Daphnia pulex: one gene and its partner. The main gene of each other region encodes a partner of the protein of the gene in region 2 in a complex. Links are inferred from orthologs where the notes say so. Each region holds a gene or a part of one and is shown on either strand. Other genes may lie near its edges.

Region 1 (4,408 bases), on a different chromosome or scaffold from region 2:
GTATGTATTTCCTTTCCTGTAAAATCTTTAATGTCACACAGAAACTAAACCATTTTCATTTTAGATACAATCTAGCCGACAAGCAATGCAAAATGTTGATGGTTTTAAATGGAGAAATAACCTTAATGGTATTTTTACATATGTTTATTTTGTTTAACATCAAATAACGCTATTCTTAAATATGTATTGCAGTGGAAGCAAATGCTAGCAATGCATCAGTAAGGAAACGACCAAAAGTAGACAAACCACCTACTACGTCAAAGAGAAAAAAAGTTGACAGTACAGGTATTGATAATAGTTCTCTTTACATTTTATTTTGAAGAGCAATTGCTTTAATTTTAATCTTATAGCACCCTCCATGGAAGTTACCTCTACTATTCAAGAAACAATCGACATTCACCAGGCTGCTGAAGAAGGAATTGTTGATCCACTTCCTGATTCAATCAAAGAAAATCTTGCTGTTGTCATTGAAGATACGACAGTTGCATCGCCTTCTATGGAAGCTACCTCTACTATTCAAGAATCAATGGACATTCCCCAGGCTGCTGAAGAAGCTATTTTTGATCCACTTCCTGATGTAATGAACAAAAATGTTGCTGTTGTCATTGAAGATTCGACAGTTACATCACCTTCTATGGAAGCAAGCTCTACTAATTTCAAGTCTAATTTTGTGACATTTCAGTCACTAGTAACTTTATCAATGATACCAAAGAATTGGATATGGTCTTTTGATCAAATCAAACAAATGATTTATTGCATTTCGATGGATCAACTACCAAATGGAAATTATAATGTGAAAAGTGTACATTTTCAAAACAAACAAGAAGTAATGTATTATGTCAACAGAAAGAACATTCCATCAAGCACTACTGCTTTGTCAAACCATTTCACAACAGTTGAAAATATAACGCAATTGATAAAGGATTTCAACGATCGAAAAATTTGTTCATGCATTCCTCATTAAAGGTTCATAAATATTAACCTTTAATCTCGTCTTTCTGGTATATTGGACTCAGCTGGCGTGTTAAGATCGAAATATTGCAGAAAGAGAATAAAATTCAAAGTAACTAAGAATAAAACGTACCATGTATTTACACCACATTTTTTTTTTACACAACCAAACAATAAAATGTAAAAATGTGAGGACACTTAAAAAGATTGGACACTTTGAAGTTAGATAAAACTTAGAGGTTTGACAGTTGGATACTTCTCCTTTTTATTATTGTTTACTTCTTGTAGAAAAGTAAGCTGTGATTGGCCAATGAGTTTTTCATAGACCCTTCCTGATTGGCTGGCTTCACGTAGTAGCTGACACACTCACTAGAGGCGCTCATTCATTCTTCCAAATCGGCTTACGTTTACCCTGAAACCGGGATAGGGAAGCCAACACAGCCATGAACTGACCAGGTATCTATAGCTCTGCTATGGTTGCGTACTTGCTTTAACTACTTTCGAACACAAATGCGTTTTTTAAAATCCGGCAGCGTGGCCCTGTCAGACCCAGAAAACGTCTAAGCGGATTATTTGGACACGAGAAATTCGATAGAATTCGAATGATTCCTTAAACCAACCAGCAGTTTACGGTTTTATTTGTTTGACGTTTATTCGTGTTTTTAGATTCATTATTTGACCTTAATGTTTTACCCTTCTCGTACCAGTGTACTTGCTTTTGTCGCTCTCATTGCTGGCCTCTACCTCGCCCAACGTGTACGAACTTTTTTTATTACTTCTCTGTCACTTTGGCTGTGCTGTTGTGCTGCAAACTGATTGACATATTCATTTGATTTTCACTGTAGAACACAATGGAGGAAGAAAAATTCACCATCAGTGTAGAGTGGTATGATGACATATCTTCACTGGTGCGTCCATTTGTCTTGTTTTACTACCCCTCAGACAGGACAGTTGAAATGGTAAACACAATTGAAGTATACAAATAAAACTTTTAAATAATATTTCTTTTATTTAATAGTATGACAGCAAGCAAAAGAAAACATTTTTGAAGAGATCATTCTGTGAGACAGTGGCAGAAATCGATTTGTACATTGGGAACAAAATTTCAGTTTTTGGAAGAGAACTGAAGCTGATAGAATACCTCGACAATACAACCAAAACTGAATTGGCAAAGAAATCAGAAAGGTATGTAAAATGGTTATCTCAGTTCAGTGCAATTTTGTGATCAAGTGTAAATGAACTATAAATGTTTCCAGGACTTATGCCATGCTCAAACCTGAAGTCATTGAGCAGATGGGAAAGGTCCTATCCTTTATTGAAGGAAAGGGATTCAGATTCAACAAACTGATGCTGACCAAAATTGGTGCAAATAGAGCAGCGGAATTTTACAAGGAACACCAGGGTCGAGCATTTTATGAGTACGTGTGCAAATCACTTTTGTTAAATACGCTTTGATCATTTATCGTTTATTATCTACACAGAAAACTTGTAAATTACATTTCGTCCGGTCCTGTTCTCGCCATGGAACTGTTGGCCCCGTCAGCCATCAGGTATTGGCGAGTAAGTTTAGGACCAACCGATCCAGATGTGGCTCGCAGTGATGCACCCAACACACTTCGGGCCCTGTTTGGAAAAGATACTACATATAATGCTGCTCATGGATCGGATTCACCAGAAGCTGCTGCAAGGGTAAACTGTTGGTCAAAGAATCCATTGTGTGTTTCTTAATATTAAGGCATGTATTTCTCTTTCTAGGAGCTCAACTTAATATTCAATAATTTGAATAGCCATTACGAACCTTCCTACATCAAAACTTTGTGCCTTGTTAAGCCACACATTCTCCAAGAAGGTATACATTTTAAACTAGTGTTTTGCCATTCGCTATGGGAAACCAACGACTTTATCTACGTGTACCAATTATTTTTGCAGGGAAGTTGGGCGCACTCATCGCTGCCATTCAACAAAATAACTACAGAGTTTCTAGTCTGAAGCTTCACAGAATGAGTTTAACTGAAGCTGAGAAGTTCTTTGCTGCTTATAAAGGAGTTTGGGATGATTACCCGGTAATTCAATTGATCCTCTCTCCAATATTTTATCTTTAATCGAATTTATTTTCTTATCAGGCCCAAATCAAACATTTCACTTCAGGACCAGTCGTGGCATTGGCTGTAGATTCTGATGTCAATACATTCAGAGAATTTGTCGGTTCATTTGATCCGGTTAGTTTCATTTAAAAAATTTCTTAATTCTAAGTATTTTATTAACATCCGTTTTGTCTTTACTCTCTAGAATACTGCGCGGAAATTACATCCGTCGTCCTTGCGAGCCCGATTCGGACATGACATTACACATAATGCAATCCATTGTACCGACCTACCCGACGATGGTGTACGAGAGGTATGTAAATTTAACTTTTTTGTAATTGTGTAATTGTTATTGAATGTATAAATATTTTTATTTGATGATTTAAACAAATGTTTTTTTATTTCAAATTGATACAGGTTGAGTTCTTTTTCAAGGATGTTGGTGGGTTCCAGTAAAATAAAGGCAATATTGTGGACCATAATGCAATAACTGAACTCGTAAGCACCAAAACGGGAAAATTTCGGAATCGGGTAGAAGTAGGATAAACTAATGAAATTATGTGGGTGATGAACATCTAAGTGGGTATTGAACTCATCCTATAAAAAATTTGGGGGAAAAAATACAGCAATAATAATAACAAATATTAGTCTCTCTTTTTCCTGTAAAATCATTTAGGCTATTGGTGAGCATTGTGACTCAAAGCTTCAGTCAGGCAAAAAGAGTGCAGAAGATAGTGAAAGAAAAAACCCGCGACCGATTTGTTAGCCACACATTCTCACACAGCCTACCGAACCAACGATAAGAGGGATCCTCTTCTGTCTCGCAGTTTTGGCCATAAAAATTTGTAAGCGGCAAAAGCCATACCAGAGAAGAGCAGCGTCAAGAAGATAGTCACTGTTGGGTGAGATAGCAGTAATTAGTTAGGTTAATTAATAATAAGCAAAAATGGTTGTAGCACTCACAAAATACTGTTCCAGTGACGTTCGTATTCGGGCAAACCGTTGGGTTGTCAGTGTTTGAGATAAATTTCACTCTCCCTTCGTTTCCGTAAGTCAGTGGTGTTAATTTTTTTATGTACTCTCGGAGAAAAATTTCATCGCGAACGCCTGCCGAAATCAATTGAAAGTTTAGTTTATGATTACAAAAGATTACGAATGATGTCGACTGACCAGTGCTGTTTTTCAAAGCAAAATCTTCCATGGACGAAAATCTGCTGCCACCGTTGGCGATAAACGAGGGCATACCAATTCTGTAAACTTGGTTGTTTACAATTGGAGCCATCCCTCCTTGCGGGTTGTTCGTATCGCGGATGTAGATACTGGCCACACGCGAACCGCTGGGTTTTGATAGATCGTACTCGACTCGCATGCCG
Region 2 (4,343 bases):
AATTCAACAAGAAACTCGAATTTGCTTTAAATAAATTAGAAATTTTCAGTATATACCTGCTGCAAGCAAGAATGAAATGGATACGGAAATGGATAAGGAATGGCGAGGAAGGGAGACTCGAGCAAAATGCGACGATTCGTTTCAACCTTTTTTCTCGGAACAAACGTATCGAAACCCCCCTGCTGGTGAGCTATGAGTAATGACTATTCGCTGTTTTTACTTTTTAATTTTTTGTTTTTTTATTCCTTCTCTTTTATTTCTTTTTTATTTTATATATTTTTTAGCCAATTTTATTATTTTTTGTCAATAATATTATGCTCCTAACTAGTAATTATAGCCTATAATTAGTCTAATGTTTACAAGCCAAGTTTATTAGACATCATATACGTTAAAAGTTAGAGGTCGGGGAATTCTTTATGTAATAGGCTATAATAAACCGAAAATAATAACGTAATTCCATTCGGAAATAAGAATAAGAACAATTAAAGTACTAGCAGCCCTAGCTACTAATAGAAGACGGTAATACCATACAAATGCATTTCTCGTCCACCCCAACTAAATAATAGGCTACAAGTGAACCAAAACTGAGGTTAGAGAGTATGACAGAAGACTAACGTATATATGCGCTGGTGAAAGATAAAATTGATGACTTTTCTTCTATAGGGGATAATACACCTGACGCTATTGGCCCCGTCCCCATTGTAGAAAGTGCCTCTTCAGCCTATTGGTCCAATGTTATGCTTTCACATAAATTTCAAGAGGAGTCTAGTCTCTATAGTGTGTCAAAGAATAAACCATTTGTCACTTTTCTTTACATTGTCGTTTTCGTTTTGAAGGCAAATACCATTTTACCTCTCTTATTCCGTTCATCGCTCTACATTATTGTAATGTGGGGAAGTATTGTATGCACACTATAATAGTGTATAGTGCATCATTTATGCCATTTACATAAAAGCCGCGCAATTTATTTCTTACATATTTTTTGTTACTTGAATTATACAGGCCTACAGGGTTTTAAATAAAGGAATTAATATTAGACCTATAAGCGCACTCTTTTTATTAAAATAAAATAGACTAATGACTTAGGAAGCAGGAATTACCTAAAATGTTGATGTTTAACAAAGAATTAACATTTTATATTTTTTTTTCATAAAAAATCACTAATTTTAATAAGTAATAAAATAATAGCCCTTCTAACGCCTTGCCGGCCTTGCTAACGCAGCGATAATTGTATCAGTTTCATCCGCCAGGTGTCTGCTTTCTTTTGAATTTGACATTACCGCCAAATGTTAGTTCATGAAATGTCAACAGCACAACAGGAATAGGTTTGACTTGACATGTTGTGACTGACGACTTGACGAGGAAACAAAATTGTAACGTTGAAGATTACTACTTGTTCTTGTTGTCATGAGTGAATTCAAAATTCATCACGCTGTTAGCGAATTGATTGATTCGCTAGGGTAAGTTAACTACTTTGAAATACATAATCTAGGATTGGCCGTTGCCCGATCTTACACTGGAATACTTAATTCGTCCTTCCTACAGGCTCACTGACTTGGTTGCACCTGAAAAATTTGTGAAAAACTTGGTGACTTCTCCATCACAGGTCCAAATAACAAATGCTAGAGAGACTGTGCAAACTTTAGCAGCTTTGAGCTCAAATCCATCTGAGATAGTGAACAAGTATGAAGAACTACGGGACAAAAAGTAGGATTTACACCATTTTTCACAAAGTTTACAATCCTGCTAATGGTCATATTAATATTGAAACTTCAAGTTACGCTGAATTGGATTCTTTTGTCCTGATACTTTCAAAGATGAAAGAGTCTAAGACAATGACCCGCTCAGTCAGGGCTGGTTTGCCAAGAGAATCTGTCAAAACCTATTGCACTAGCACAGATAGCAATCAAGGATCTGGTATTTAAATTTTTTCTATATGTTTGTTCATGAATTTAATTACAGTAGAAGTTTTTTTCTAGGCCCATCAACATCCACTCCAATTGTGGTTGGAGGTGTAAAATTGAAGGAATTGAAGAGCAGGTTACAGACTGCAAGTGAGGGTTCATTAGGTCATAAAGTTACTGAACTAACAGAGAAGAGGGTCACATCTAGTGAAATTATACAAAAGAATCCAAAGTGGTTTCACACTAGACCCTTTCTTTCTTGGGACTTTCCTGTTGCTGGGCTATCAGATTCTCATCTACTTCAAGTTGCTCCTCTTGGAAATGTGCCTGTAGGAGATCAAGAAAGAATACTTTTAGAAGAGCTCCTTTATGTTCTCAGTGGGTTTGATGGCGATTACATACGTGCACTACCCTTAACTGCCAACGCCGACGAAAGAAAATTCGAAATTGATGATAGTAATTATTTTTATTCAATAATTATTTATTGAAAATTGTCAGAATAAAAATAAATTTTGTATTTTGTATTTTTTTTTTTTACAGGTGTCGACGATTCACTAAAAGAAATGATTCGAAGATTCTTCCCAATTTTAGCTTCCTATTCTATAATTGAGCGCTTCTACGAGAGTCGTTCTGGATTCGATTTCGGAATGGTAAATGACGCCTTGGCAGCGGCTATTGGCAACTTGGTTCATGAATATCGAATCTTTGTCTGTCAATTGGAAAGTTTATTGCTTAAGAACGAATTGAGTTTGCAGAAAGCTTGGTAATCTAAAGGTTTTATATCTAAGGTATCTTTAAATCAATCTTTTTTTTATATCTTTTAAGGTATCTTCTTCAGCCCAATGTCACGATATTGCATCAACTGCATCATGTCACGCTGTCATTAATGAGAGCTAAAGCTCAAGGCGGCCAAGTATTATCCGTTCTTCACCAACAGACCATGGAAGCGATGGGAAATGAGAAGCAACAGAAACTTTTGCTCTCACTTACCCGTTCTGCAGCCCAGCCATATTGGGAGATTTTGCAAAAGTGGATTTATCAAGGTTCAGTAGAAGATCCATATTTGGAGTTCATGGTTGAAGATCATCAAGTAGTATCCATGGACAAGCTCTCCCCAACGGCTTACAGTGACGACTACTGGGAGAAGCGTTACACTCTACGACGTGATCGAGTACCCTCATTCCTTCTCCCACTTACTGACCAGATTCTTCGTACCGGAAAATACCTTAATGTGATCAAGCAATGTGGTGTGTCCTAATCTTAAATTTATTCAATATCAAATCATCTTTATGCCTTAATTTTGATAGGAATGAAGGTGAAACCACCAAGGATTGATGACTTAGTGTATACACTTGACGGATCAGGCTACAAAGAAGCCATTGAAAAGGCTTACAGTTATGCGTCTGAGACGTTGTTGCACGTCCTCATGCAAGATTACGACCTTTTAGGTCGGCTCAAGTAATATCAGTTTAACCTCATAATGAATTGCATGTGACAATTTTAGCCGATTACTCTTGACTGTTTTAGTTTTTTACGCATTAGAATATGCATTTAATGCCTTAATGGTTACTATGTCTTGCAGGTCCGTGAAGCATTACTTTTTCCTGAATGCGGGAGATTTTATCTTGCATTTCCTCTCGCTATGCGGAGCGGAATTGGTGAAAAACGTTGATGATGTAATGCCCAGCCGATTAGAATCTTTGCTTGAATTGGCACTTCGCACTTCGACCGCCAACGCTGATCCCTTCAAAGATGATCTGGGACTTGAATTACTTTCCTATGATCTAACTACTCAGATGGTTAAGATTCTTTCGATCGAAACTCACGGAGAACGCGACAATCGCGGTATATAATCCTAGTTCGATACCTTCCCACATTTCAATAAAATAGATACATTTTTTAAAAATATTTAGGGGATGGGAACCACTCAATCGACCATGTACGGTTGACGGGATTGGAAGCTTTCTCTTTCATGTACCGTGTTCGATGGCCTGTTTCACTTGTGTTTACGACTAAAGTTATGGCGTGCTACCAGATGATTTTCCGACATCTTTTCTTGACCAAATATGTTGAAAATCTCTTGGGCCGGTAAGGATTTCCTTCAGCGCAATTAATTTTGTTGAAACTACTGATTTAATGACATTTTTAGAGTTTGGATTTCGCACAAAATTGTTCGCAATTATTCGTTTCCGACTAGCCAGTGGTACAACAACGCATTTGCTTTGCGTCATCGCATGCTCCATTTCATTCAAAATTTATTGTACTACATCACGGTCGAAGTTCTTGAGCCATCATGGCAAATTTTTGTTGAGAAAATCCGAAAAGTGGACAACGTCGATCAAGTATGCACAAATTTTTATTTCCGTTCATTAGACAATTTCTAAATAGATAGTTCAAATTAACAGGTTATATCAACTCACATGGAACTTCTGAACGTGT

Evidence for each region.
Region 1: gamma-tubulin complex component 2-like (region 2) and nucleoside diphosphate kinase 7-like share a complex: the UniProt entries of both Homo sapiens proteins name them as parts of the gamma-tubulin ring complex. The link is inferred for Daphnia pulex from reciprocal best matches to the Homo sapiens genes TUBGCP2 and NME7.

The regions. Positions count from the first base shown.
Region 1 is NC_060026.1:2,937,006-2,941,413, forward strand, and holds nucleoside diphosphate kinase 7-like, read left to right. Parts: upstream 1-1,385; 5' UTR 1,386-1,635; coding exon 1,636-1,707; intron 1,708-1,796; coding exon 1,797-1,910; intron 1,911-1,969; coding exon 1,970-2,136; intron 2,137-2,207; coding exon 2,208-2,369; intron 2,370-2,432; coding exon 2,433-2,640; intron 2,641-2,706; coding exon 2,707-2,800; intron 2,801-2,880; coding exon 2,881-3,014; intron 3,015-3,074; coding exon 3,075-3,170; intron 3,171-3,240; coding exon 3,241-3,348; intron 3,349-3,408; exon of another isoform or gene 3,409-3,452; coding exon 3,453-3,491; 3' UTR 3,492-3,820; downstream 3,821-4,408. Other genes in the region: uncharacterized protein LOC124205225, read left to right, coding at 65-128, 193-285, 351-964; 5'-nucleotidase-like, read right to left, coding at 3,821-3,930, 3,999-4,142, 4,206-4,408. UniProt on the Homo sapiens protein: Possesses an intrinsic kinase activity. Displays 3'-5' exonuclease activity with a preference for single-stranded DNA. Does not seem to have nucleoside diphosphate kinase activity.
Region 2 is NC_060019.1:11,565,893-11,570,235, reverse strand, and holds the start of gamma-tubulin complex component 2-like, read left to right. Parts: upstream 1-1,261; 5' UTR 1,262-1,407; coding exon 1,408-1,460; intron 1,461-1,545; coding exon 1,546-1,707; intron 1,708-1,777; coding exon 1,778-1,917; intron 1,918-1,979; coding exon 1,980-2,360; intron 2,361-2,444; coding exon 2,445-2,667; intron 2,668-2,729; coding exon 2,730-3,151; intron 3,152-3,211; coding exon 3,212-3,362; intron 3,363-3,486; coding exon 3,487-3,749; intron 3,750-3,817; coding exon 3,818-3,992; intron 3,993-4,053; coding exon 4,054-4,246; intron 4,247-4,309; coding exon 4,310-4,343. UniProt on the Homo sapiens protein: Component of the gamma-tubulin ring complex (gTuRC) which mediates microtubule nucleation.